Xenopus tropicalis: one gene and its partners. The protein of the gene in region 2 purifies or fractionates together with the protein of the main gene of each other region. This does not show direct contact. Links are inferred from orthologs where the notes say so. Each region holds a gene or a part of one and is shown on either strand. Other genes may lie near its edges.

Region 1 (2,213 bases), on a different chromosome or scaffold from region 2:
GAAGAGAGGCAGAGAGATTCCTGAACCTGATAGTGAAGGGGGCAGAGAGCCCCCAGGGAAGAAACGGAAGCCCACAGAAGGTAAGGGAGACTGGGGTATGTCCCAGCTGAAGCCCACCATGAGCAGTCTCATACAGGTTCTTATGGGGTATCTGTAAATGAGCTGCTGTTCGTGGTGGTAGTACAGGGGCTCATATAGTAGCCGTGTGTTTGGCCCACTGGCCAAAGGGTCAGATTCCGTAAGGTATGACCGCCTTTATGGTAATAAGCCGCTTATATTGCAGGCCATGCTTCTGATGAGGAGGATTCTGGGATTGAACCCTTTGTGAGCGACCGCAAAAGACTGTCTGGCAGTTCCTCTGAGGCGGCAGCTGTTGAGAGACAGACTGCGAGCAGGTCGGAGAAGGAAAAGAGATCACACAGCAAGAGTAATGAGACCGAGAGTGACAGTGATTCCGAGGGGCCGAGCCCACCACGAAAGAGACCCACCAAAAAGAGTAAGGTGTCCGACAGCAGTGGCACAAAGGGAACAGTAAAGAAAAAGCCATTGGAGGAATCCAACAGTGATCCACAGGCCAAGCCAAAGTCTGGCAAACAGGGGGCTTCTGGGAAATATCAGAAAGGTGGGAGGGAGAAGAAGCCAGCAAAGAAGGGAAAGAGAGCGCCTAGCGTGGGGTCAGACAGTGAGAGTGGAACAGAAGTGACAGACACCAGGCAAAAGAAAAAGCCAAAGCAGGAGAGAGACAGTGGGAGTGAGGGAGAAAGCAAAGTAAAGAAACCTGCACAGAGGAGAAAGGAGAGCGCAAGCCCCAAGAGAGCGCCGCAAGGCAAAGAGCCAGCAAAGCGAAGGAATAAAAAAGAGACAGACAGTGAAGAAGAGAGCGATAGTGATGAGGAGGAGGCAGTCGAAATGGACTCTTCAGACAGTCCCAGTAAGAATGAGACTGGTAGCAAAAGAACAGCTGGCAAATCAAAGGGCTCGGACAGTGAGGATGAAGCAGAAGAGACAGACACCAGGCTGGAAACCGACCGTGAGAGTGAGGAAGAGAGCAAAGCTAAGAGAGCCAAGAGTGCAGGGAGCGCTACACTACAGAAAGGGGGAGAGAAGGTAAAAGCAGCGCAGAAACGGAGAAAGGCCGATAGCGAGGGAGAGAGCGATAATGGCAGGAGCCAATCTGAGAGCGAAGATGAGATGCCTAAAAAGAACTCTCCGAAGAAAGAGACAGACAGCGAGAGTGCAGAGAGCAGTGCTTCCGAGAGAGACTCCGATAGTGAGAGTGAAAAAGAGAGCGCAGGACAGAAGAAAAGGAAAGCGAATGGGCGCAAGGCCAAGTCAGATAAGGAAAGCGGCAGTGCCAAGAAAAGGAAGAGACAGCCAGACAAGAAGGAGGAGACAGACAGCGAGGATGAAGATAAGGAGAAAGGAGAAGGTGCCAAGGACAGGGAGTCTGGTGAGGAATCGGCCAATAAGAAAGAAGAACCAAACGATGGTGGAACTGAGAGCGACTCCTCTGTGGCATCTGATGGCGACAAGGAGAAAAGCAGCAAGAAGCAGAGTAAGGTGAGCTGTGCCACTCCTGTGCCCCCCCCATGCTGGGTATCCCTGTGCCCCCCCTGCCATATCTGCACTGGGGATCCCCGTGGCACCCCCCTGCCATATTCCATACCCATATGAAGTGTTATATGGTGCCTGATATGGGCTAAATATGAGCATTACCTTTAAAGGGGAACTAAAGACTTCTCACAAAGATTCTGTTTCTCAAGGAACAAGTATATCCTTAGCCTTTCCAACTGACCCTGAGCCCAAATCCTTCCCTGTATCTGAACTACACGGCCTGACTTCCATTTTATCCCCCCTAGAGTTCATCCCGGGAAGACCACCCCTCGGTGGCGCGGCTGAAGCGCTACATTGTTGCCTGCGGGGCGCGTAGGAACTACAAGAAGCTCTTCCAGGACTGCCGCTCGGTGAAATCCATGGTGCAGCTCCTGAAGAACGAGCTGGAAGAGTTGGGGGTTAAAGGTGAGGGTACGGTGGGGGGATGACTTACCTTGCTGGGGCTGGAGGTTGGGCAGAAGGGGGTGGGCACAGAGAGTGGTGGGGTGAATGGCAGCTGCTCATAAGAGGCAATGTTTGTTCCGCGCAGGGCAGCCATCACTAGCCAAGTGCCGCATTGTTAGAATGAAGAGAGAGGAGGCAGCAGAACTGGCGGAACT
Region 2 (3,500 bases):
TGTCCATATTGAAGAATTGTTTCTAAGTTTACATTGAATATTGACATGCCCAGCTGTCCTTGCTTATTTATATGTGCAAACAATGGTCCCTTTTACACCAAATCTGTTTTTATTTCTCTGCTTTTCTCATGCAGATGAGGAATTGGAAGATAATCCCAATCAAAGTGACCTCATTGAACAAGCCGCAGAGATGTTATATGGACTGATCCATGCCCGTTACATACTGACTAACCGTGGCATTGCCCAGATGGTGAGAGTGTTGTTGATAATGATATTATTTTAGGCAGCTGTATTTTTAGTTTTTAATGTTAATGATAAAAATACTGCTGACTGGCTATTTATAGTGTTTCCAAATTCACTTTGGTATATGAAATGTTTAGAAGCATGCAGGCTCAAGGGGCACAGTTTTTACATGCTTATTTACCAGCAAGTTAATATCCACAGCAGTGCTTTCTGTAGTTACATTTATAATTAGCCCTATTTCCACAACGATTAGATGCAGAAATAATACTGAATTAGCAATTTTATATGTTTGTAATTAAGTATTCTGTTACTGATTTTTCCATGCATTAGCAATTTTATATGTTTGTAATTAAGTATTCTGTTACTGATTTTTCCATGCTTGTGGATTTAGAGTATAGGGAGAAGGAATTTCTCTAAGGGATGATGTGGGGGGGGGGCACAACCTGCAGTCTGTAGCACCATGGGGGGGTCATTATTTCAGATACCCATTCAAACCAATGAGTAGAGCTGCAGCTTTTTTGACTTTGATAGGGGTCACATGAGTTAATCAATTATTTGCTGGCTTACTCTGTATATTTTGGGTCACTCCCACTTGTTAGTAGCTTGTTCTCCCTAGAGTGATTGGGATTAGGGTATATGCTATTATGAACTGGTGCTGTCCTTCATGGTGTAATGTTAGAATGTTAGCTTCATTTCTTTGAGTATTTTATGCATTGACGACAAGGCACTCCATAAAGAGCAAATACCCTATCCGATAGAAACTGGGAAACTTTTGGTTGTGTATTTTTTTTTTTATAATCTTTTTTTTTATTGCTTTTAATGCAAACTAACAAAATAAAGCAGCTCTTCCTCCTTCCACCTTCGCTTTTGGAAGGACTAAGGACAGGCGTATGCGCAGTAGAGTGAAAAGCCGACTTCTCTGTTAAAGTTCGGTTTTTCACTCTACTGCGCGCGACGGAAGGAGGAAGTGCTGCAGGTAACCCGGGCTGGTGCTGTTCTCTCCTAACAGGGGCACCAGCCTGGGGTAGAAGGTAAGCGATTTAAGTCACTTGGGGTGCCTAACATTTTGGCACCCCCAAGTGACTTTGCCTTTCCTTCTCCTTTAAGATGCCCCAGTAGCTCCCCATCTTCTTTTCTGCTGATTCCCTGCACATGCTCTGTGCTGCTGTCAGTTACTGAGCATAGGGACCAACTCACAATATATTGTATATACAGAATAAAAATGTCACAATATATTGCAGATTAGTAATTTATTCAGATTCATAATACTTGGTAGCTCTGAATCCAGTGCAGTTAGCGTCAGAAATAATCAGCATCACCCTCTATGACAGGTGAACCTTTATTTTCTGCTTGATCATTTGTGACGACCCCTAAGCTTGGCTTCCCAACAGCTGCCCAGAGCCCACTGAGCATGTGTGTCACAGACCCTTTCCAAGATGGGGAGCTCCTGTGACAACTGTGAGATGCCCTATATATTTTTGGAACACTGACTGAATAGCTTTCCAGATGTTATCTCAGATTTCCCATCAGAAGCGTTCTGTATTCCTGAAAAGCATATGGTTTAGTGATAGAGCATCCTTGGGATTGGTTACATGCAGAGTTTGTCCTCTAAAATCAGAATGCTAGGGCTGCATTATGTACTTAATGATGCCGTCTCAGATATTCTGGCACATGTACTTCATATCAGTGCTGAATGGACAGTGATCAAACTTGGCTGGAACTAAATGTGCTTCAAGTTGCAATAACCTAAAAATAATTTTTGCTTCTACTTTTGCTTCTTTGCCTGAGCTGACTTAAAGTCTCTACCTAGAATTGGGGTATAACTTTTAGCTTTTTGGAAGTTATTTCATGTGAAAGACAAAGCAATACAGTTGTTAGATACTGTGTTTAATCACGGTAGTCACAATATTTTAACTACTACACTAATAACCTAAATAAAATTGTATTGTATTTCCTCAAGCCTGTTTTCTATGTATTTCTGTGCAGCTGGAGAAATATCAACAGGGCGATTTTGGCTACTGTCCCAGAGTATACTGTGAGAACCAGCCCATGCTACCTATTGGTAAGGATTGTATGGCAGTGCAAACAAATGATTTGCCCTAATTACTTTCTCTGTTTTTCCTCTTTTTTATTTTGGTCCTTATTCCTCTAAATTTTCAATTCTGCAAAATGTAGCAACAGGCATTTTGCGGGTTTTCACACTATTGTCCTAGCCTAGAGTACATATTCAGAGGCAAAAAATGAGCAGTGGTATATTAAACCAAAAAGGGATATTTATATTTTAATCAGGCTATTTTGCAGTGTTCTTGCAGACCCAAGAGCTATTTTCTTGTACTAAATAAAATACACATTTTTAAAAAAATTGGTTATGCATTATTTGTTGTGTAGGGTTTGTTTACTATATGAATTAAAAACACATATTGCAGGTTCCCCACTGCTGTTCCTGCTTCACTACTCATTACTGAACTGATCGGCAACCTTGTTAATGAACTCTCACTTGTCCCACCCCAATAACCTTCTACCGCACTGGGCAACGTGCACAGTAGCCCTGAAGGCAATGACAGTACAGTGGTTCCTGTACTGTATGACAAGCATGCCTGTCAATTTGTTAGCAGATGAAGGTGAATCTGCAATATGCATATAGTAAAGAAACCAACATCATAATCCATTCCAGTTTAGAAGCTTAAAGTGCACCTGTCATCCAGACATTAAAAGAGGTATAATAAAAGTCCTTTTCAAATTAAACCTAAAACCCACATTCATTTTTATAATTAACACATTCAAACCCATTATAAAGGCATTTAAAAATCCCAGCTGTCAGTCATATATTGCTTGCCCCACCTCTATGCCTTAGGCATAGAGGCAGGGCAGACAATAACTTTAGCTTTCTGTTCAGCACTACCTAGATGTCACTGCACATCTCACTTTCCCCCTCCCTCCTCATCATCTAATTGGGTAGCCAGTGCAAGGGCCTGGGTATCTGGTCCCCCATTCTGGTGCATAAACAAAATTTTGGCATGATACAAAGTCTTCATAACAGTGTTTACAAAATGGAGCCTGCCTGCTTGCTTTGATTGAGTTATTCCAAGACTTAAACAAGATTTATATTATTTATATAGCGTAAGTAAAGTTTATTTTGCTTAACTAACAATATAGAAAATAGTTATGTCTTAGGGTGACCGGTCCCCTTTAAGCAGTGACAATTCTTAGTAAACCACCCTTTTAAGAAAATCTAAATGAAAATGTTTTAGAAGATG
Region 3 (4,210 bases), about 2.4 Mb from region 2:
ACACCTGGGTTGGAATGTAGGATGTTTGGGGGAAGGTGTGTAACACATTTGAAAGGGTGAAATCCCATGATATTGTCATGGCATCTGCTGCCAGGGCCAAGGGCTCTTTGCAACCGGCTATTAAACAGGACGCCTTGTTATTTTGTCTGGATACCATGAGGTCCACCTGTGGTTGACCCACCAATGTTCTGAAAGACCTCTTGGTTTACAGACCATTCTCCTGAATCTAGCAGCTGCTGCCTGAGGTAGTCAGCTTGCCAGTTGCCTAGCCGTGGTATGTATACCACTGACCATGTGCACACCTACTGGTGCCTCCCTGATTGTTCAAGATCAGGCTCGAGGTCGAAGTCTTGGAAGATATGGAGGGACGAAAAAAGCGGGAAAGGATGTACAGGACCCAAGTTTGAGGTAGCAAGGTGTTTTCCCCCCTGTGGCCTGACTGATAATTTTATCTAGCTCGGGTTCTAGAGGAGCTACCCTTTGTAAGGGACTTCTTAGATGAGTGCACCGGGTTGCCACCAAAGAGCAGAGGTAAAACTGGTTACTTGTACATCATCAAGAGCTGCCTTGCAGATGTAATCATTGGCTTCATTAATTAATCTGTAGAGCTGTAGTCAGAAGTTCTTGTCTGGGAGTGCCGGAATTGATACCTTCTGTGAGGAAAGTGGACCAAGACCAAGGCCCTGCTGACCCAGGCAGAGGCCAAGATAGGATAGAGAGATTCACCTGAAGTGGTGAAGATTGATCTAAGGAGGCCTTCTCTGGGTGGTCCCACTTAGCATGAATGATGTTACCCAATTGAGCATGGAAAGGAATAGAGAGGATTCCTTTTGTCTCTTAAACAGAGACTGAAGAATCAGGTGTTGATGTCAGGTTTTTGAGATCAAGGCAATGTAGGACTGTGCAAATTAGGTTATCTAATGTTTCTGAGAAGGATTTGTTTAGATCTTCACCTGCCTCTTCCTGGTCTACTGCCTTAGGCCCAAGTCTATCAAGCAATTTGTCTAGGCATGCTGCCAATTTAGGGATGTCAGTGGACAACTGCAGAGCCCACATGGGGGGGATCTTGGATGGAAGTAGAAGGCTGGGCAGGCACAGGAGAGGTGTCCCCCACAGGGGCTTGAGCTGTGGTGGGAGCAGGGAGATCCTGAGCAAGGAAAGGTGCTTCAGAGGACTGATTAGTGCAGGAGGAGCATAAGAGGTCCTTGGGCCTAAAGGTGGCCATACACGGACAAATTCAGCTGTCGTTATCAGTTCTTTAAGACCGATTCGGCAGCTTATCTGCCGTGTATGGGCCCCCCAACAGGCCTACCCCATCGATATCTGGCGTGAAATTGGCCAGATCTCGATTAGGCAAGTTTGATTTTCCATAAGATCAGGGGCCACATTGGCTCTTTGATGTGGTCCCTGATGGGAGCAACATCCAAGGGATTGGGGAGCAACATGTTGCCCGAGTCACTGGTTGGGGATCACTGACCTAAGGCACACTGCTGGGGTCTAGTGGTGCCTAGTGGTGGATGCTATACCCTATGGTTCCTGTGTCCCACAGACATGCCAGAGAAAAGACTTGCCGCCTCATTAAGAGAAAACAATAAAAACCTTTTTTAAGGTTGCATCTTATAAACCAGTTAGACATGTGTACAGCAATGCAATATATTCATCACTCATATAAAAAAAAGTATCAAGATTTCCATGACTAAACCCTTTTAAAGCCATAGAAGTTGCTAGAAGACTAGAAAGTAGGTCAAAACAACAGTCTGATAGGCTGTAAGCTAGTTAGCTAATCTACTGTGCTACTATATAAGTTTATTAGGCCTATAAGTAAAATCATTACCCAGGTGCAGCGGCCTTCTACAAAATACTTGCAGACAACTTTCCCTTTTTTATCAGCCCGATGGTGTGGCTTCTCATAATCATTTCTATACATTCCTCCATCCTAGAATGAGAAAAAAAGAATCAGAAATATACAGTTTGCTTAATTGAAATAAGCTGATTAAAAAAAAATAAATGTTAAAAGTAATGAATGACCACTGAAACAATATGAAAACTGAAGAATTTTCTAGCCTACAGAACTGTATTCATTAACTATATTACCATTCAATCAAAATTGCCACAAGACCTAAATGTTCTTATTCTAATATTAACACACAAGCACCATCTCTGCAGTCTAAGGCACACAAACTGCACAACTCATCAGAACCTTCATTAATCACATCTCATTTCAGTGAATTGACACTTTTAATGTCCATTGCCATGTATCAGTACTAAGTAAATCAGGACAGAAACTGCATTTTAACACCCATTCAGTTTTGATATTGTACACAGATAGAACAGCAATCACAGGCATGATATAAATGTATTTAGAAAAAAAAACCTGTGATTTTATGATTTATGTCTTGAATACATAACTTACACCCTCTTCCTCATAGTATTCATCCTCATCATTTCCCTTCCCTCCTCTGCCTCGTCCTCTTCCTCTTCCCATGATTTTGTATCCCCTTCCACGTGGGCCCCGACCGCGGCCTCTATAAAATCCTGTAAAGGAGGTTAAAAAAAAAAAAAAAAGATCATCACTTTCAAATACCTGTAATGGATTAAACTGCGGTTTAAACTTTAAACTAACGGTCCATGTGTTCCAAAGAAATATCTCCTTTATTACAAAAAAAAAAAAAATACAAAACTTCAGGTTGTAAGATCAGCAGCTTCAACAAAGCAGTGCACAGCAGCACTATTTACATACAGCTTTGAAAACACTCAGAGGTCAACAATCACTGTGTGACAAGACTTATCAAGAGCTCACCTCGACCTCTGCCCTCTTTTGCCTTCCGATACTGGTTAAGTTCCTTGGAATAATCGTCATACTCTTCATCTTCCATTGCTTCTTCTTCACAGTACTGTAAGCAACACAATCCACAATTATATCAGAGTAATAAAAATGCAGGTCTCTACATTTTCAAAATGTTTCTTTAGTTTTTATTTAACAGAAATTCCATAATTGTTTAACTTAATTCATACTGTTAACCTAACAGCTAGAAAAAGAATGAAGCCCTGTAAACAGGTTGAGTTGATAACTTTTAGATTCATTAGCTTAGCATTGATCAAAAAATATTGAAGATGAGGAGCACCTTCCATTGATCCAAAGATACCACAAAGGAGGTTGTGCAGGGTAAAGAAAATTACGAAAAGTGGGCAGGCACATCTACATCCAAATTCGATAACATCACCTGTGCCAGTGACCTTATCGAATTTGAATGTAGATGTGCCTGCCCACTTTTCTTAGTTTGACATCTCCATTGGCTGATTTGAATTATCTTTGGTTATAAATAGACGTGCGTTATGCAAACACGTTGCCTTTGACAAAGCCCTTATTTGTTGAGGGCAAAAAGCATGTCAGGCGCTTTTTAGTTTTGTTTAGGCAGGACTTTACAACGTTGAACTGAGGGGGTGATTGGGTGCTAGTAGCAGGGGTGGAAGGGTGTTGATGCTACCTAGTGGCCCCAGGCAGACTTGACTTGTAATATGGGCTGGCAAGCATAGGTGCTTTGCTGATGGTATTGCATCGCCAGGGAGAGGCCCATTATTGAGATAAGAATGCCCTGTTATATAATCAGATGCCCAAATATGCCCACAGACCAAGCTACCCTAGCCTATCACCTAATCCTGGCAAGAACCTAATATTCATCACATGCCAATTTTTGGCATATAATGAGGTAATAATTTGGCACCTAAGAAGAAATTCACAGTCTTAGAGCAGCTACATTCATAGTATATAGGTAGCTTGTTAACTGTTGATTTACTAGGTTGGCTTTCAGTTGGTCCTTGTCTAAATCGTGATTTTTAATGTAAATTTTAGCTTCACTAATCTGTCTTAGCACAATTTATTTTTATCCTTTAAGTTACATTTTAACAGGGTAATTAAATATGCTATCAATGTGAAAGAGCGGAAGGTGCAACACTGTAGGTCATACTTTTTTCTTTCCCTATTTTAGTTTAGCATTGATGTCTTCCAATGTTTGGTGGGGGCCTAGGTTTCATCCAAGGCACAAGCTATGAAAAGTTTATGTACATTCTGCCCATGCTTGCTTGGGTTTCCCCCAACAATCCAGAAACATTCAGACAGATTAACTGGGTCTTGATAAAATTTACCATAGTTTGTGAATGTGATATGGACTTTAAATTTTAAGCTCCACTTGGGCAGGGTCTGACTGAT
Region 4 (4,191 bases), on a different chromosome or scaffold from region 2:
TCTCACTGGGTTCCATGGTATATCTAATGCCTTGGAATTTCTTTTGTACCCTTCTCCTGACGGATATCTTTAAACAATGAGATCCCACTGATGCTTTGAAAGCTCTCTGTGGACCATGGCTTTTGCTGTGGGATGTGACTAAAAAAATGTCAGGAAAGACCAACTAGAGCAGCTGAACTTTATTTGGGGTAAATCAGAGGCACTTTAAATGATGGCAGATGTATGCCGACTCCTATTTAACATGATTTTGAATGTGATTGCTTAATTCTGAACACAGCTACATCCCCAGTTAGAAGAGGGTGTGCACACTTATGCAACCACATTATTTTAGTTTTTTTGGTTCTCTTCCCTCCACCTATAAGATTTCAGTTTGTTTTTCAATTGAGTGGTACAGTTTATAGGTCACATTAAAGGTGGAAAAAGTTCTGAAATGATTTATCTTTGTCTCATTTGTGTACAGCACAGGAACCTGACATTTTATCAGGGGTGTGTAGATTTTTTATATCCACTGTATAAATATTGAACATTCAAGTTTTTAACCATAATTGAAAAATTGGGAGTTTTAGCACAAAAACATTCACAGTGTAATGTTAAGTCACCCCCAAGTACCAAAAACATTATAATTCCATGGAGACCAGCCTACCCGTTGTAGGGGCTCTTAGAAGACTGCTTGTCATCAATCTCCCGCTTAATTTTTGCTGAACTCGGGGATTTGTCTTCAGTTTTCACATCTCTTGGAGATGCTAAAAATGGAAAGCAGAAACAGTTGTCTAATTAACAATACATAAAAGAGGTCAACAGCACTTTCTCAGTCTATGGGACAGAAGCCTACATGGGGTTGGAATGTTAGAAAAAATGGGGTCACATATTTAACAATACATTTTTAAAATAAACGTATGTCATTTCATCAGTCAAAAATCCCTTCATGTAACAAGAAGTGTAACCAGAATGAGTGCTATAAACATGCAACTCCCTAACCTGGCAACTAGGTACTGGGCTTGGGAGAGGACTGCTCACTGATACAGCCAAGGAACATTTACCCAGTTTTGTTATAGAACACGTATAGACAAATCAACTCACATGGTTTAGATGCAGGAGAGAATCCTCCTATTGATAAAAGAGCTGGAGTTCCATCGGGATTCAGCCCTTTTGCTTTTAATTTTGCTTCCTGTAGGGCTACTTTCCTTTTTTCTACTTCTTTTTCCAAAAATTCATAGTTCGGCTGTTAGGAAATTAGTGTAGTTAGAGTAGTTTTTTTAAATTGATACAATATTTACATTTAGTTGTTTTTGTTGTTGCACGTTTTAATCCCTGATTAAAAAACAACCTAGCTTGTGAATTACTTTAAAGAATAAGGAAAGCTCAGAAAGTCAGAAGGGCCAATTTGTAAGGCCCCAAGTGGACTCCTCCTTTAAATGAATGGTGGCACCATATAAAATTCTGTGCCAATGGTTCTATGAAACACCACAATAAACCAGAAGGTGCCTCAAAAATTGCCTCCTCTGACCTGACTTTGTCCTTGTCCTTTAAAGGAAAACTATACCCCCAGAATGAATACTTCACAAAACAGCTTATATTAAGTGACCTATTAAAGAATCTCACCAAACTGAAATATATATAATCAGTAAATATTGCACTTTTTAATTCTGATTAAAAAAAACAACTTAGCTTGTGAATTACTTTAAACACCAGGTAAAGTTGCACTAAAAAACAATGGCACCAAACTGGCAGGGGTGGGTGATTATTGCAAATCGATTGCTTTAAACATAATTAACAGTATGCCAGTTAAAGCAAGTTTGCAATTCTTGATGCTACTTGTGTGAGCATGCCAATAAACAGACAATACCTTTTTCCTGGTGTAGAGCCTTAAAGTGGTTATACAGATATCTTGAATGTTTTCTTCAGTAGCTCCAAAAAGTAAAAACCAGTGTGGTCTATTTGGCAAGGGTAACTAAAGGCAAATACAAATCTTTAGTTTGACAGCATTTTCAAGGTCTGTTATAAAAAAACAACTTGTACAGTAATAAAACTATTATAAAAACACACAATTTAGTGATATCACATGATCAAACATTCTGTAAACATTGAGAAGAATTTACCTGCAAAGCTCTGGCAGCAAGATAAATACACGCACAGGCAATGGTTTCTGCCTCAAACCGTACAAATACATTGGTCCGTAAGCAATCATTCATGTAATTCCTGAAAAACAGAAATCATGTGGAAATATTACAAAGGGTTTTCTCTTCTGGGGGACCAGGGAAGTAAGACAAGCACAACCAGTCAGGGTTTAATGCTTCAATATATAATGCTTCTTCTCCTCAATGTGTGTCTTAGAGTTTATAAACACTTGAGAGCTGAGCTGTAGCTGAGAGGCATCACTTTACCAGTTACCAGAGAAAAAGGCACACAGGGCTCTAGATCTAAAAGACGATTTGGCACAAACTTGTCACCTGAATCTAATATGATGCCCAAGGGAAAGTCATTTCCACATAGATGCTAAGTTTGTTCTATGGATATATGCCAGCCACATCCAACTCGCTCTGTAAGGGTGTAAGCCCCATGTTAACCCCCTCTCAGGTAAAGCTTGGAATAAAAGTCACCTCAGTTGGATCTAAAATGGCCAAAGGGTAGAAGCCAGAGTGTACTTTGGTTGTGTTTATAATTCTAATACACAGCTGAATTATTTAAATTTAGTTCACTTGATGTAAATGTCCTAAAAAATAAAAAGAGTTCTATGTATAATATAAATAGCCTTTTTCTGGTGAGCATTTTTGCAAACAATTGCTTTAAATTCTCTACCTAAAATAAAATGATACTACTTTCTAAACCCTTACAGAAGTCAAATACAAAGGGTATATTTATAATAAAATCAAGTTTACAAAAAGGTGTCAACAAGCATATTTGCTGTGCACGTGTAATTCCCTGACATATAGATCATCTTTACAACTGAAATTAAGCACAAAATATATTAGGAGCCTAAAAGAATCCAGTTACAATGTTAATGTTTTGACACATTCAGGTTTCCCCTAAAACCTACAAAGTGGTAATGGGTCAGAAAAAAACAAATTGACATATTGATTGTATAAATGCAAGTATGCAGAGGCTGATGAACTGTGAAAATAAAAACCTAAGCACAAAAATAAATGCAATTATCATTTAACAGTCATCATTGCATAAAGTGATAATGTACATTTTCATGTACTTTTGAGGGGGCAAATATACTGTTCAACAGGAGCTTAATATACACATATAACAAAGATGAAATGGTGCTGGTTTCTGGGTGCCTGGACAGAGTGCATGTACATTATAAGTATTAGCGAAGTGGGTGTTACCCCTTCAGCATCTGTAATGTGCATTTGTGCAGTCCAGACACTCAGTTTTGGTCAGGGATGAGATCACTGCAGTGCTACTGATCACCCCAAAATGCCTTTCCACCCACAAAAAAAGTGAAACAGGAAGGTAAGGCATAAATGCAAATTTACTAGAAGCATAATCTGACTGAAGAAACTTGGAGTTGCAGTTTTATGTCTGAAAACATAATACACTATCTAGGTGAATCACAAACTGACTCCTGTGTAGAGAGACTGCCAAGAGGGCGATGGGGAACGATTACAATTATTTTAGAAATGGAACTGAATATTTAATTTAATTTATCTATAAAGTTCCTTGTTTCCACAAGATGAAGCTCTTTTTTTTCCCAATAGTTCCCTTTTAAATAAAGCTCAATGAAGAATTAGGCCATAAATGTTTTTCTTCTTTAGCAGCCCAAGGTGACTACAGCTGTTTAGCAGTGTAGATAAATCAACAAACTTGCCCCCGTTAACTCCCCATCTTTTCTGCAGATTCCCACAGTATGCTCTGGGATCCTGACACTTACCTAACCTTAGATACCAACTCACAATACACAAAAACCTCTTTTTGCTTCTTAGATGATGGACACCCTGTTAGTTTCTCAACCGCAGCCCACAAAAAGAGCATGTGCAGTGCCACTGACAATTAAGATGGGGAGCTGATGAGGAAATTTTGAAGGCATTGGCCAATAATGTGTTGGCTAGCACAGTAAATTCAGTATATAAAATATAGCATTTCTAGACAGGCTTTAGTACTCGGTTCAATGCATGAGACTACTTGCCTGCTCCTTACGGTTGTTATATCTAAAAAGCTAGTATGTATATCAGTTGTGTGCTACTA
Region 5 (4,032 bases), on a different chromosome or scaffold from region 2:
CACTACTGGAGCAGTCCCTGGACTAACCAACATTCTCCCACAGCACATGGCTGCTTCCCTTATATGGGCCTATGCACCACCCTGTGGCCATAACCCGAACTACAAGTGTACTCCCTGTTAAAGGGACAGTAACACCAAAAAATGAAAATGTATAAAAGTAATTACTATATAGTGTAATGCTGCCCTGTACTGGTACAACTGGTGTGTTTTCCTTAGAAAGACTACTATAGTTTATATAAAAAAAGCTTCTGTGTATCCACGGGGGCAGCCATTTACAGGAGAAAAGGCACAGGTTACTTAGCAGATAACAGATAAAACCCCATTATATTCTACAAAGCTTATCCGTTATCTGCTATGTAACCTGTGCTTTTTCTCCTTTTTCCCAGCTTCAATGGCTGCCCTCGTGTTGACATAGCAGCTCATTTATATAAACTATAGTAGCGTTTCTGTTGCAAACTTACCAGTTTTACCAGCGCAGGGCAACTGTACATTATATTTTAATTACTTTAAAAGACTTTAATTTTTTGGTGTTACTGTTCCTTTAACTATTGACAACCCAGTCATCCCAGTGTTCCTGTTTCCCAGCACCACCCTGTGGCCTGTCCTAGGGGTTCCTGTCCTAAGGGCCCGTTTTTGGTAAACCCCTACATGTACATACATTTAAATCCTGATGTTTATATTAATCCTTACCATGTACTTCATTTCCAGAGTTTTATATCAGACAATGAGGCTGATTTACAAACAATGCTGCTAAATTGCGCAAGTGCAGTTGACAATAGAAACTTACCAGACAAATGTTTTGAAAAGGCTTTAGTACAACTTAAAAAATAAAAGCAACTGCTATTCTTAATTTAGCATAACCTTTACTCCTAGATCAGCCCCTATATCCCTTATACCAAGGTTATTGCTACGTGCTGATAAGAGGGGGTAATGTACATACATATTAATGGAAGGTCTGCATTGGCAGTGAATACTTCCTATTGGTAATATTACCAAAGTAGGGCACTGCGATTACAAGATGACAAATGCAGACGGACACGATGTGCAGACAATTAGATCGGCACCAACCTGCACTTTCTCTGCTCCCAGCCGGACTCACACGAAACTTTGCGCTTTCTTTAGCGATTCCACGGTTCCCATAGAAACCAAGTAGCTGTGCAGCACTAAAAACCTTCCCTCCCTGGACGCGAAAACCTGCTACTTACGTTCCGCCTCCCTAATCATACTAGCCAAATGATGTGAATTTCCGGTAGGAAAGGGAAGCGGTGAGCCCCAGACAGGCTGCTGTAGCGAGGGACGGGCCCGGGCTGCTGCATTTGGCTGAAGAGAATACCCGGGCTGCTCGTAGGGAAGCAGGTAGAAGGGAGGCACAGCTTTCCTTAGCGGAGAAATAAATGATAAAATATATAAGTACCCGGGCCTAATCCAGGGGGTGGGGGTGGCAGCCCCCTAGCCCCTTCTCTTTACTGACTTATAAGTCAGTTTATTTACACCCGGTCTTTTATATGTATACAGTCAGTTACTGGCCATTAGTTTGCACATCTCTGCAAAGTATAAGCAACAGACAGGCCGGGGCGCAGCAACTATCTCATGGGGGTCCCTCAGCGTGCGAGGGTGTATGGGGGGTTCATAAGATCCAGTATGTCAGTGACTTTCCCCAAAGTTACCTAAAATCTGTTCATAATATCGCTGCCTTCCGTTTTCAATACACAAATTTGATTTCAACATATTTTAACTTACAAAAAAGTTTTGGAACTTTCTGTACATTGTATGTCCTTCATCTCTAGTGAGCTTTCCCAGGAAACTCTAAATTGTATAGTTGTATAATATTTTACCCCAAGTCTTGGATTTGTGTTTATAAGATGCATCTTACCTCTTGTATCAGTCAGTATTTGTATGTAGTCTGTATATTTGCAGGGTGGCAGAGTGTATTTGTATGTAGTCTGTATATTTGCAGGGTGGCAGAGTGTATATGTATGTAGTCTGTATATTTGCAGGGTGACAGAGTGTATTTGTATGTAGTCTGTATATTTGCAGGGTGGCAGAGTGTATATGTATGTAGTCTGTATATTTGCAGGGTGGCAGAGTGTATTTGTATGTAGTCTGTATATTTGCAGGGTGGCAGAGTGTATTTGTATGTAGTCTGTATATTTGCAGGGTGGCAGAGTGTATTTGTATGTAGTCTGTATATTTGCAGGGTGGCAGAGTGTATTTGTATGTAGTCTGTATATTTGCAGGGTGGCAGAGTGTATATGTATGTAGTCTGTATATTTGCAGGGTGGCAGAGTGTATTTGTATGTAGTCTGTATATTTGCAGGGTGGCAGAGTGTATTTGTATGTAGTCTGTATATTTGCAGGGTGGCAGAGTGTATATGTATGTAGTTTGTATATTTGCAGGGTGGCAGAGTGTAAATGTATGTAGTCTGTATATCTGCAGGGTGGCAGAGTGTATATGTATGTAGTCTGTATATTTGCAGGGTGGCAGAGTGTATTTGTATGTAGTCTGTATATCTGCAGGGTGGCAGAGTGTATATGTATGTAGTCTGTATATCTGCAGGGTGGCAGAGTGTATATGTATGTAGTCTGTATATTTGCAGGGTGGCAGAGTGTATATGTATGTAGTTTGTATATTTGCAGGGTGGCAGAGTGTAAATGTATGTAGTCTGTATATCTGCAGGGTGGCAGAGTGTATTTGTATGTAGTCTGTATATTTGCAGGGTGGCAGAGTGTATATGTATGTAGTCTGTATATTTGCAGGGTGGCAGAGTGTATTTGTATGTAGTCTGTATATTTGCAGGGTGGCAGAGTGTATTTGTATGTAGTCTGTATATTTGCAGGGTGGCAGAGTGTATATGTATGTAGTTTGTATATTTGCAGGGTGGCAGAGTGTAAATGTATGTAGTCTGTATATCTGCAGGGTGGCAGAGTGTATATGTATGTAGTCTGTATATTTGCAGGGTGGCAGAGTGTATTTGTATGTAGTCTGTATATCTGCAGGGTGGCAGAGTGTATATGTATGTAGTCTGTATATCTGCAGGGTGGCAGAGTGTATATGTATGTAGTCTGTATATTTGCAGGGTGGCAGAGTGTATATGTATGTAGTTTGTATATTTGCAGGGTGGCAGAGTGTAAATGTATGTAGTCTGTATATCTGCAGGGTGGCAGAGTGTATTTGTGGAAACTGCCACTGTCTTTTGCCAAATGTACTCACTGCAAGCACTGCTTGGAGTGCAGTCAGAGTGATGTCTAACAAATCTGTTAGTGACTGAGCTCCCAAGTACCCCTGCCCTTAAAGGATCAGTAACACTAAAGCTGCCCATACACGGGCAGATTCGCTCGCTTGGCGATGTTGCCAAGCGAGCGGATCTTTACCCGATATCCCCACCCTGGGGCCAAACGATCGAATTATAACAGCAGCAATGGGGCAGTCAGTTCGGGGACCGCATCAACGAGCCGATGCAGTCCCCGATCCGACTGAATTTTCTAACCTGGCCGATCGATATCTGGCCAATTTCAGGCCAGATATCGGTCAGCCAGGCCCCTCGTTTCTGCCCCTACACGGGCCGATAAGCTGCCGAGTCAGTCCAAGGGACCGATATCGGCAGCTTCTATCGCCTCGTGTATGGGGGCCTTAAGAAATAAAGGTGTTTTAAAGTAATTAAAATATAATGCAGTGCACTGCACTGGTTAAACTGGTGTGTTTGCTACAGAAACGCTACTATGGTTTATTTAAATAAGCCACGGGGCAGCCATTCAGGCTGGAAAAAAGAAAATGCACAGGTTATGTAGCAGATAACAGATAAGCTTTGTAGAATATAATGGGGGTTTATCTGTTATCTGCTATGTGCATTGAATGGCTGCTCAGCAGCTTTGTTTATATAAACTATAGTAGTCTCTCTGAGGCAAACACACCAATTGTACCAGTGCAGGGCAACAGTGCATTATATTGTAATTACTTTTATGCACTTTCATTTTTTGGTGTTACTGTTCCTTTAAGATCTGCAATATAAATTATGTTGGATTTTCACAGAT
Region 6 (3,500 bases), on a different chromosome or scaffold from region 2:
GCCATTAGTCTTGTTGGTCTTAAATCACTCCAGTATAGCTTTCACTGAGTCTGGCTAAAAGGTGAAGCTCCCTCCCAGTCTCAGGTCTCATGCTGACTGAAACAGGCTTTTTCTTTAGAATTTCCTTTTATTTGACTGCGTCTATCCAGAGCCAGGTAGGGTTTGGTAGTTTACAATTTAAATTTTGGTCTTATCCGAGCAGAGAACCTTTTGCCGTGCTTGCTGGTTTTCTTGCATGCCTTTTGGCAAACTCTGAAAGGATTTTCATATGGGTCTCTAATTGATGGCTTTTTGTTTGCACAGTTTAAAGCTGGTTACCATCAGCATTTGACTAGTTACCCTTTTACCTGGTCACCAAACCTTGGAGAGAGCTTTCTCTAGGCTGACTCACAGTTGTGCTATTGATTTAGTGGTGCTCCAGGAATTTTATTTTAGACCCTGCTATTTTCCAGAATTTATTCTGGATACTGACACATGATACTCCTTGGTCTTAATGATGCTGTTTTTTCAAATATGTGTTTACACTTTTAAATGCATAGTTGGACTTGAATTAATTTTGTGATGTCTGAAGGCAGTTAGTTGCTCAAAGCTTATTTAGGGGTTTTGTAAAGGAAGTGAATTCTAATGGAGTCTTAGATGCTTCCATTTATTTTTTAATAAACTTATGTAGACTTTGTATTCCACTATGGACTGTTTTACACCCTGGATTTAATGCAACAAAACGTAGAAAATACAAAGCATTACATACTTTTCAACTTTTCATGGATTGGTATACGTACAGTGACTAGGGAAAACCATAAACCTAAGATTAAAACTTTCAGGCAGTTTTGGGCTGAGTTTTATTTTTTTCCATAATAGGTTCAATGGAGCTCCATACAGAAGCACCTGCCTCCTTCAGCCCACCAGCAGTGCACTGGTAAACACCACAGAGTGGGTAAGTTTAATCTTCTATATATACTGTAGTAAGTCATTTTGAATGTTGTAGTTTAAGAGACATTTAACAGTCGTAATAGAAAACTTTTAAAAGAAGAATACCTCCCAGTATTTAAAAAACTGAAAGGAGGACAAAACAAACTGCTGTAGCTGTAAAAGTATAGGCCGCGCCAAATAAAAACAAATAAATCCTAACCCTAACTCACATCCTTTTCTTCCGAGTGTCCTGCTCTTTTATTGTTGAATTTTCATGCCTTTTTACCAGTTATATTCAACTCCCAGCCTTTCCCCCCTCTGTGGTTTTTAACATTTTTTTTTCTTATTTTAAGTGTTTAGATTCTTGAGAACTATCCATTTTTTTTCTTCAGTTATTGCATCTCAAACATAGTTGTGGTCAATTGATCATTTTTTTTCTAGATTGTTTGATGTATGGCTTAAGTGGTATATAGATATAGCCCAAGCACTTGGATAAATAGGTTACCATTTCTAACTGCTGATTTTTCTTTTCTCTCAGCCCCCATTTGTTGTTACGCTTGATGAGGTGGAGCTTGTACACTTTGAGAGAGTGCAATTTCATCTTAAAAACTTTGACATGGTTATTGTTTACAAAGAGTACGGCAAGAAAGTCACCATGATTAATGCAATCCCTGTGGCTTCACTTGACCCCATAAAAGAATGGCTTAAGTAAGTGTTTCATGGAATATGAAAGATGTAGTGCTGCTGTTAACACATTTTTCATGTATCTGTTAATCTGATTACACATGGTCCAGTAGTGGTTTATGTTGACTGTTACGTTCACACGCTATGCTCCAACAGCAGGTCTATTGGGATGTGGACAGCAGAGACTTCTCTGTGCAAAAGGACAGATAAATAATTGGGGTGCTGCTCTTGTGTGAAAGGCTGGTGATGCAAGGCATGGAACAACTGTATATGGACTGGGGGACATTTGGGCATTTTAATTTTATTTAGAAAACACTTAAATATACAGGGACACAAGAATTTTCTATTAAAATATCCCTTTTAATGTTTATCATACTGGAATATCTTTGCAACAAGTGACTTTTGAATACATGTCATTACTAGGTGTCTCTTACAGTAGTATAAAGCAAAGCAATAATAGGATGGTCAGGCAGCAAAGAGCCTCCATGTGCTGCTCCTGTCTTGGGTTGCTGCTTGATCAACCTGGAAATCAGTTCCTGTGTTTATTAGATTGATGCAAGCACCTTCGACATCTGCTTTATAAAATGATGTGTTTAATTTTTGCAGGTATTTTGGTTGAGAAAAGGCATGGGGGAAATTATGGCTGTGTACTATAAAAGAATAGAGCAGAACATTTGCTAGCTGAGCTTTAGTGCTTGGGGGACACACTTTAGTTTTTCAACTAGCCATAATCTTTACTTGAAAGATATATTGCTGTGGTGAGCAACTTATGTCATGATATACATAGACATGGTAGTGACGTCATTTCTGGTCACACAGGCAGGAAGTAAACATAGGGAGTGCACACGTGCTAGATCTGAGGGGAGTAAGGTCTATTGAAAATGGCAAATACTCCTAGGGGCATAAGAGAAAACCAGAGTGTGTTCTTCTCGCCATCTCCAATAGGAACCAGTCTCCAACATTATATTAAAGGTAATGAAAAAAAACAATAAATGTAATGGGGCATGGGGTTTAGAAAGGTTTTACTTGACCTTTAAGATACTGTGCTTATAACAGTTGTTAGTAACTTTACTTTTTGCAGTGTTCTCATTGAAAGCTTTCTTCTACAGCTCCTGTGACATTAAATATACTGAAGGAGTACAGTCACTAAACTGGACAAAAATTATGAAGACCATTGTAGATGACCCTGAAGGTTTCTTTGAACAAGGTGGTTGGTCATTTTTAGAGCCAGAAGGAGAGGTGAGTTTGGTGGTTGCATTTGTAATTGTAATTTATATTTTTGCATATGTAAAATAGTTTTTATTTATCCCAAGCAGATCTTTATTCTGGGCATACTGTATCTGTTCATTTTGCGAATATACTTTTTTTTTTTTTTTTTTGCCTTATTGGGGACAGGAGACAGGAATAATGAATTATATTTAGCTACCTATTTGCAGAAACAGGATTTAAAACTGAAGAAGGGTTTGGCTAAATTCTACCTCGTGTTGCCAGCTTAACCTTGCTTGCTAAGGGCAGCCTCCCTCTTTTTTTTTTTTTTTTTCTTTTTTTTTTCAGTTAGCAAATATGGCACACTTTAGTTTGGCAATGGTGGTGCCCAGGTACCATTCTTTTTTGCCAGCTTAAGGATATTGGCACACTGCATATATCTGCTTCTCAGCCCTTCGTGGGGTGGGGAGAAGCCTCCTCAGCAAAGGGCCACTTCCATAAACCCCCTTCGTTAGCACCCTAGGGCCAGGTACATTATTTGTTGTAATGCATGTTTCAGTAAGTTAACCTTACTAACCGCACTAATTATATTAAGTGATCCCTCTATTTAAAACTGTGTGTGCAGAAAAGTGAGTGGATTATGTGTTTTGATATAAACAAAAATTTGTGCACTCTACAATTTGTGTGCTGGACCCAAAACT
Region 7 (3,930 bases), on a different chromosome or scaffold from region 2:
CTTTGCTTAGAAATGCTGCCTCCTCCATCCCAGAATTCCCTATTTGGTGGCAAATACATTCAGCAATGGTCATCAGGTTACAGAGGAATAAGGAGAAAAACGTCAGAGAAAGGTCAGGAATAGAATATTTTGTTGGCTCAGTAAAAGAATGAGAACAGCAATAGAAAAAAAGAGAAATTTGCGTGCATACACATAAGTAATTAGTTAGCAATATATTGTTCAATGGAATCTGCATTGTGAATTGTAAATATTATATATATAAAAAAAATATTTGCATATTTACATTTGAGACCCCCAACCCAGAGTGCATATAAAATATAGAAAGCTTTCCAGAAAATCACAGTAATTTTACTGACCAAACCAGCTCTGTAGCTTTCAAAAGTGACTGCAGAGACAACTAAGAAGAGAGCAAAGATTGATGCACAGGAAGAGGCAAGAGACAGTTTATTTAGGGACTTCCTGTACACCCAAGAACACACAAATACTAGAAGTGCTTCAGCTTCCCACCAGTTACTAAAAGATGATTTCCTAGGTTCCGCTAGAGGTGGCGTGGGCTATGCAGCAATACCAATAATCTGAGTCTTTAGTGTGCATTACCCCTTTAGGTGGTTTTTGAGAAATATGTTTGTGTTTACTAGAAATGATACACACTATATTTATAAATACAGGTGCAAAGATACAATGTATTCTGTTCCATTTCCTTTGTTTTGGATATAAAACAGATGAGCATACAGCTTAAGCTGCTGATGTACAAGATTTCAAATGTTAAACATATAAATTATAAAGCCAGGTTCTATATATCAAACACACTACCCAAACAGGAACAACTGATCCCAAATGAACCGATATGTGTGTGTAATTAAACTGTAAGGCAGACGTATGCGCCATGCCTTAAATTGGAGGTTTTATAAAGACAATGAGTATTAAACTTGCCAAATTATCTTGGAACGCTTCCTGTCAAATTACTGAACGGCATTGGCTGCCAGCACTTTGTCACATCGTCACTCCTTTCCTAGCCCTCAATTAGTCATTCAACCTTGAATCTCTAAAATCTCCTTTACCTGCAGCGCAGTACCTTTGCTCTGCTCACTTGCACACTATCAGGCACTGCCCTGTGTGCTTTCCTTCATTTCACTTCTAGTCCCTGCAGTATAAAGTGAAAGACACCTCCCTTCGTCCTTCTATATTTACAACAGAGCTTATGTCTTAATTGCCCACATCTGCACATTACAAAACCTACAAATGCCAGTCTCTTGCAGCCTCTTATCTACAGAAACATTCCTGTTGCAAGGCATAAATACGTGCACTAGCACAATTTTTTTTATTTGGTCTAACTGCCCTTTAGTGAATGGCACAAAATAAACCCCACTTGGTCTATCACTAACTATAAAAGGTAGGGGTGGGTTTCCAAAGGCAGGGGAGACAAGTACAGACCTGTACATGGCTACATTCTGCCATTTGCTGCCAGTTTTCTACCAGTTCTTTCAGCCATTATGAATAATGTGGAGAATTATTTAGAGGGTTAATGAGATTCTATTAATAGAATGTAAACATTCCGAGAAAGGGCTGGAATTCTAGGGTCATATACATGCAATTTGTTATCCAATAACCAATTTAGCTATAACGTACATTACTAATTCTATGGCTTCACACAATATTATAGGAGGCTGAACTCTTACTTAATAAGAAATAGACAAAAACACATAAAAGAAAAGAACTAAAAATATAAATGCGTCTTAAATCCACTACCTCCAGGTCCTTAAAGGGCAACCCCACCCAAAAGTAACTTTCCATTCTACATTAAACATTTTCAGTGGCTTTATAGACATCTCTTAATGTTATCAGTTTCTGACTGTTGAAACAATGTAGCAGGTCAACTCTCCAGGTTTGTTAAGGAGCTGGAGTCAGAACCAGAAAGGCAAAGGATTCCGTTTTCAATAGCAATTATGCTTGAAAATAACTTTTAACTAAAACGTTTAATGTATATTAGTTAGTTGTTCAGAATAGCATTTTCTATTATTATGCAAAAAAAAAACATTTTCAGCGTGGAGTTCCCCTGTAACTCAATTGCTACTTGGCATTCCCCACCAAGAGCTGTCAGTGAGTGCTGCAAGATGGAAAGAGTTAAACAGCCCAGAGATAGTTATGTTCTGGCACTCCCGCTATTGTGTTACTACTACTCCCAGCATCCTCTCAGAAACGCAGCTGGTAAGAAACGGAGCTGCTAAAAGTTGAAGCTGGAGTGCCAGGGAGTCTGTACTACTGCCCGAACTAGATAGCCCGAAGCACTCACACTTTCATACTCATTCGGGATGGAAAGAGATAAGTGCCGATCAGGCGGAACCCTTCCCTGTGAAAGGACTGTGTCCCCTTCTCTCTCTGGCCGAGATACCCGCACCTTCCATTATTTGTATCTTACCTCGCTTCCCACTTTCTGCACCGGCACTTTCTGCCACGGGTCTGCCAGCTGCGCCAGCGGCATCTTTTCAACCCGATGTGATTCCAGCAATTGTCCCCAAAAATCACCAAAGTGACCGAGCTCCAGTCCGCCCCCCTAGAGTCACCGTGAGCTGTCCGGTACTGCGCGGCAAGCCAGAACCACTCCAGCACAGCTCTTCTCCCTTCTCTCACTCACACAGATCTTTACTTCCTCTCACAACATGGCGTCCCCAGCGGTACCTGCCGCTCGCAGCAAGGCACGGTGCGCGTCACCCCTACGTCACATGCAGTGGGCGGCCTTCCCCTCCCTTCAGTTCGGAGTACAGGTGACAGTCGGGGGAAGAGGATTCTGGGTAAAATTGCGTCATAGGCGGAATGCCTGCCCTCCCATGTTAGATGAGTCTCCGGTTACGCAAATGAATAAGGTTTCAGCTAGACGCTGTGTCGTGGTTGTGTGTGGGTATATGTGTGGGTATATGGGTGGGTATATGGGTGGGTGAGCCCCGGTTCCCAGCCTTGACTTCCGTTCTTGTATACAGATTCATGCCTTTTTACACTCCTTCGATAAAGAAAGATTTGGCCAGTGTTTGTAGCTCATGTAAGCTTTGCTCATGCCTTCAGTGGATGTAAGGGAAATGCAGTGCTTATTCTATAAATGTAATATCTCCGGTCTCTCTCTCTCTCTGTGAGTGACAGCTTTCTTTCTCTCGCAGGATGTCTCTCCGGCAGTCTGTACCTTGCGCAATTTGTGCGTGTTATCTCTTACATAGGGGCATATTTACAGAGGTTGGCATATTGTTACCGAAAATAAAAATTTGCCACAACGTTGGCAATTTACTATAAAGGATTATAATTGTTTGTGAATCGAAACAAAACATTAACCTCATTTCGCCAAGGTAAAAATTTTTCTAGTGTGAAATATTTGCCAATTTATGAATAGCGCAGGAACGAATGCTAGCCAAGAGAAATGGCTCCAGGTTTAGGCTAGCAAACTTCCATTATAATGACACCTTGGCCACTTTGCATCTCATTTTCTATGTTATCTCTTCCATGCTAATATCCCACATGTCATTTATTCTCTAGCAAATTTTAACCACTAGAATTGTACAGGGAAAATACAATGCTTTAAAAGAGTACTTATGCCAAAAGAAAATTTGTACTTATGATTTTTTAGTAAATATGAGATGTTTTGTGAAAATATGCCACACTTGAGCAAGGGGGATCCCCAACCAATATGTTGCGCATCAACTTTTTATTGTTGCTCCTGACTTGGGGGCAAGATTTGGTTGAATAAAAACAAGATTTACTACCAAATAAAGCTTCCTGTAAGCTGATAGTGTGCATAGAGGCTGCCTAATAGCCAATCTTAGCCCTTCTTTGGCACCTACATGAACTTTTATGGTGCTTGTGTTGCTCCCCAAGTCTTTTTACATTTGACTGTGACTCATATGTAAGAAAGTTTAGGGACCCCTGCCAGCGTTGGTAGTTAGG

The links.
Region 1: the proteins of csnk2b (region 2) and hirip3 purify together in Homo sapiens (affinity purification with mass spectrometry; 4 studies listed by BioGRID and IntAct, with this or other methods). This does not show direct contact. The link is inferred for Xenopus tropicalis from reciprocal best matches to the Homo sapiens genes CSNK2B and HIRIP3.
Region 3: the proteins of csnk2b (region 2) and zc3h4 purify together in Homo sapiens (affinity purification with mass spectrometry; 3 studies listed by BioGRID and IntAct, with this or other methods). This does not show direct contact. The link is inferred for Xenopus tropicalis from reciprocal best matches to the Homo sapiens genes CSNK2B and ZC3H4.
Region 4: the proteins of csnk2b (region 2) and ccnl1 purify together in Homo sapiens (co-immunoprecipitation; 3 studies listed by BioGRID and IntAct, with this or other methods). This does not show direct contact. The link is inferred for Xenopus tropicalis from reciprocal best matches to the Homo sapiens genes CSNK2B and CCNL1.
Region 5: the proteins of csnk2b (region 2) and nkapd1 purify together in Homo sapiens (affinity purification with mass spectrometry; 3 studies listed by BioGRID and IntAct, counting the BioPlex papers as one, with this or other methods). This does not show direct contact. The link is inferred for Xenopus tropicalis from reciprocal best matches to the Homo sapiens genes CSNK2B and NKAPD1.
Region 6: the proteins of csnk2b (region 2) and supt16h fractionate together in Homo sapiens (co-fractionation; 4 studies listed by BioGRID and IntAct, with this or other methods). This does not show direct contact. The link is inferred for Xenopus tropicalis from reciprocal best matches to the Homo sapiens genes CSNK2B and SUPT16H.
Region 7: the proteins of csnk2b (region 2) and rps6ka3 purify together in Homo sapiens (affinity purification with mass spectrometry; 5 studies listed by BioGRID and IntAct, with this or other methods). This does not show direct contact. The link is inferred for Xenopus tropicalis from reciprocal best matches to the Homo sapiens genes CSNK2B and RPS6KA3.

Annotation. Positions count from the first base shown.
Region 1 is NC_030685.2:5,180,814-5,183,026, forward strand, and holds part of hirip3 (HIRA-interacting protein 3), read left to right. Parts: coding exon 1-80; intron 81-283; coding exon 284-1,560; intron 1,561-1,859; coding exon 1,860-2,019; intron 2,020-2,143; coding exon 2,144-2,213. UniProt on the Homo sapiens protein: Histone chaperone that carries a H2A-H2B histone complex and facilitates its deposition onto chromatin.
Region 2 is NC_030684.2:74,728,978-74,732,477, forward strand, and holds part of csnk2b (casein kinase II subunit beta), read left to right. Parts: intron 1-134; coding exon 135-250; intron 251-2,229; coding exon 2,230-2,305; intron 2,306-3,500. UniProt on the Homo sapiens protein: Regulatory subunit of casein kinase II/CK2.
Region 3 is NC_030684.2:77,131,088-77,135,297, reverse strand, and holds the start of zc3h4 (zinc finger CCCH domain-containing protein 4), read right to left. Parts: upstream 2,801-4,210; intron 2,536-2,800; coding exon of another isoform or gene 2,486-2,535; coding exon 2,414-2,485; intron 1,937-2,413; coding exon 1,835-1,936; intron 1-1,834. UniProt on the Homo sapiens protein: RNA-binding protein that suppresses transcription of long non-coding RNAs (lncRNAs). LncRNAs are defined as transcripts more than 200 nucleotides that are not translated into protein.
Region 4 is NC_030681.2:115,976,745-115,980,935, reverse strand, and holds the start of ccnl1 (cyclin-L1), read right to left. Parts: upstream 2,801-4,191; 5' UTR 2,200-2,800; coding exon of another isoform or gene 2,193-2,199; coding exon 2,100-2,192; intron 1,952-2,099; coding exon 1,847-1,951; intron 1,223-1,846; coding exon 1,081-1,222; intron 744-1,080; coding exon 644-743; intron 1-643. UniProt on the Homo sapiens protein: Involved in pre-mRNA splicing. Functions in association with cyclin-dependent kinases (CDKs). Inhibited by the CDK-specific inhibitor CDKN1A/p21. May play a role in the regulation of RNA polymerase II (pol II).
Region 5 is NC_030683.2:84,671,412-84,675,443, reverse strand, and holds the start of nkapd1 (uncharacterized protein NKAPD1), read left to right. Parts: upstream 1-1,232; 5' UTR 1,233-1,356; intron 1,357-4,032.
Region 6 is NC_030677.2:142,081,602-142,085,101, forward strand, and holds part of supt16h (FACT complex subunit SPT16), read left to right. Parts: intron 1-858; coding exon 859-934; intron 935-1,447; coding exon 1,448-1,617; intron 1,618-2,702; coding exon 2,703-2,832; intron 2,833-3,500. UniProt on the Homo sapiens protein: Component of the FACT complex, a general chromatin factor that acts to reorganize nucleosomes. The FACT complex is involved in multiple processes that require DNA as a template such as mRNA elongation, DNA replication and DNA repair.
Region 7 is NC_030678.2:43,846,682-43,850,611, forward strand, and holds the start of rps6ka3 (ribosomal protein S6 kinase alpha-3), read right to left. Parts: upstream 2,801-3,930; 5' UTR 2,483-2,800; coding exon 2,420-2,482; intron 1-2,419. UniProt on the Homo sapiens protein: Serine/threonine-protein kinase that acts downstream of ERK (MAPK1/ERK2 and MAPK3/ERK1) signaling and mediates mitogenic and stress-induced activation of the transcription factors CREB1, ETV1/ER81 and NR4A1/NUR77, regulates translation through RPS6 and EIF4B phosphorylation, and mediates cellular proliferation, survival, and differentiation by modulating mTOR signaling and repressing pro-apoptotic function of BAD and DAPK1.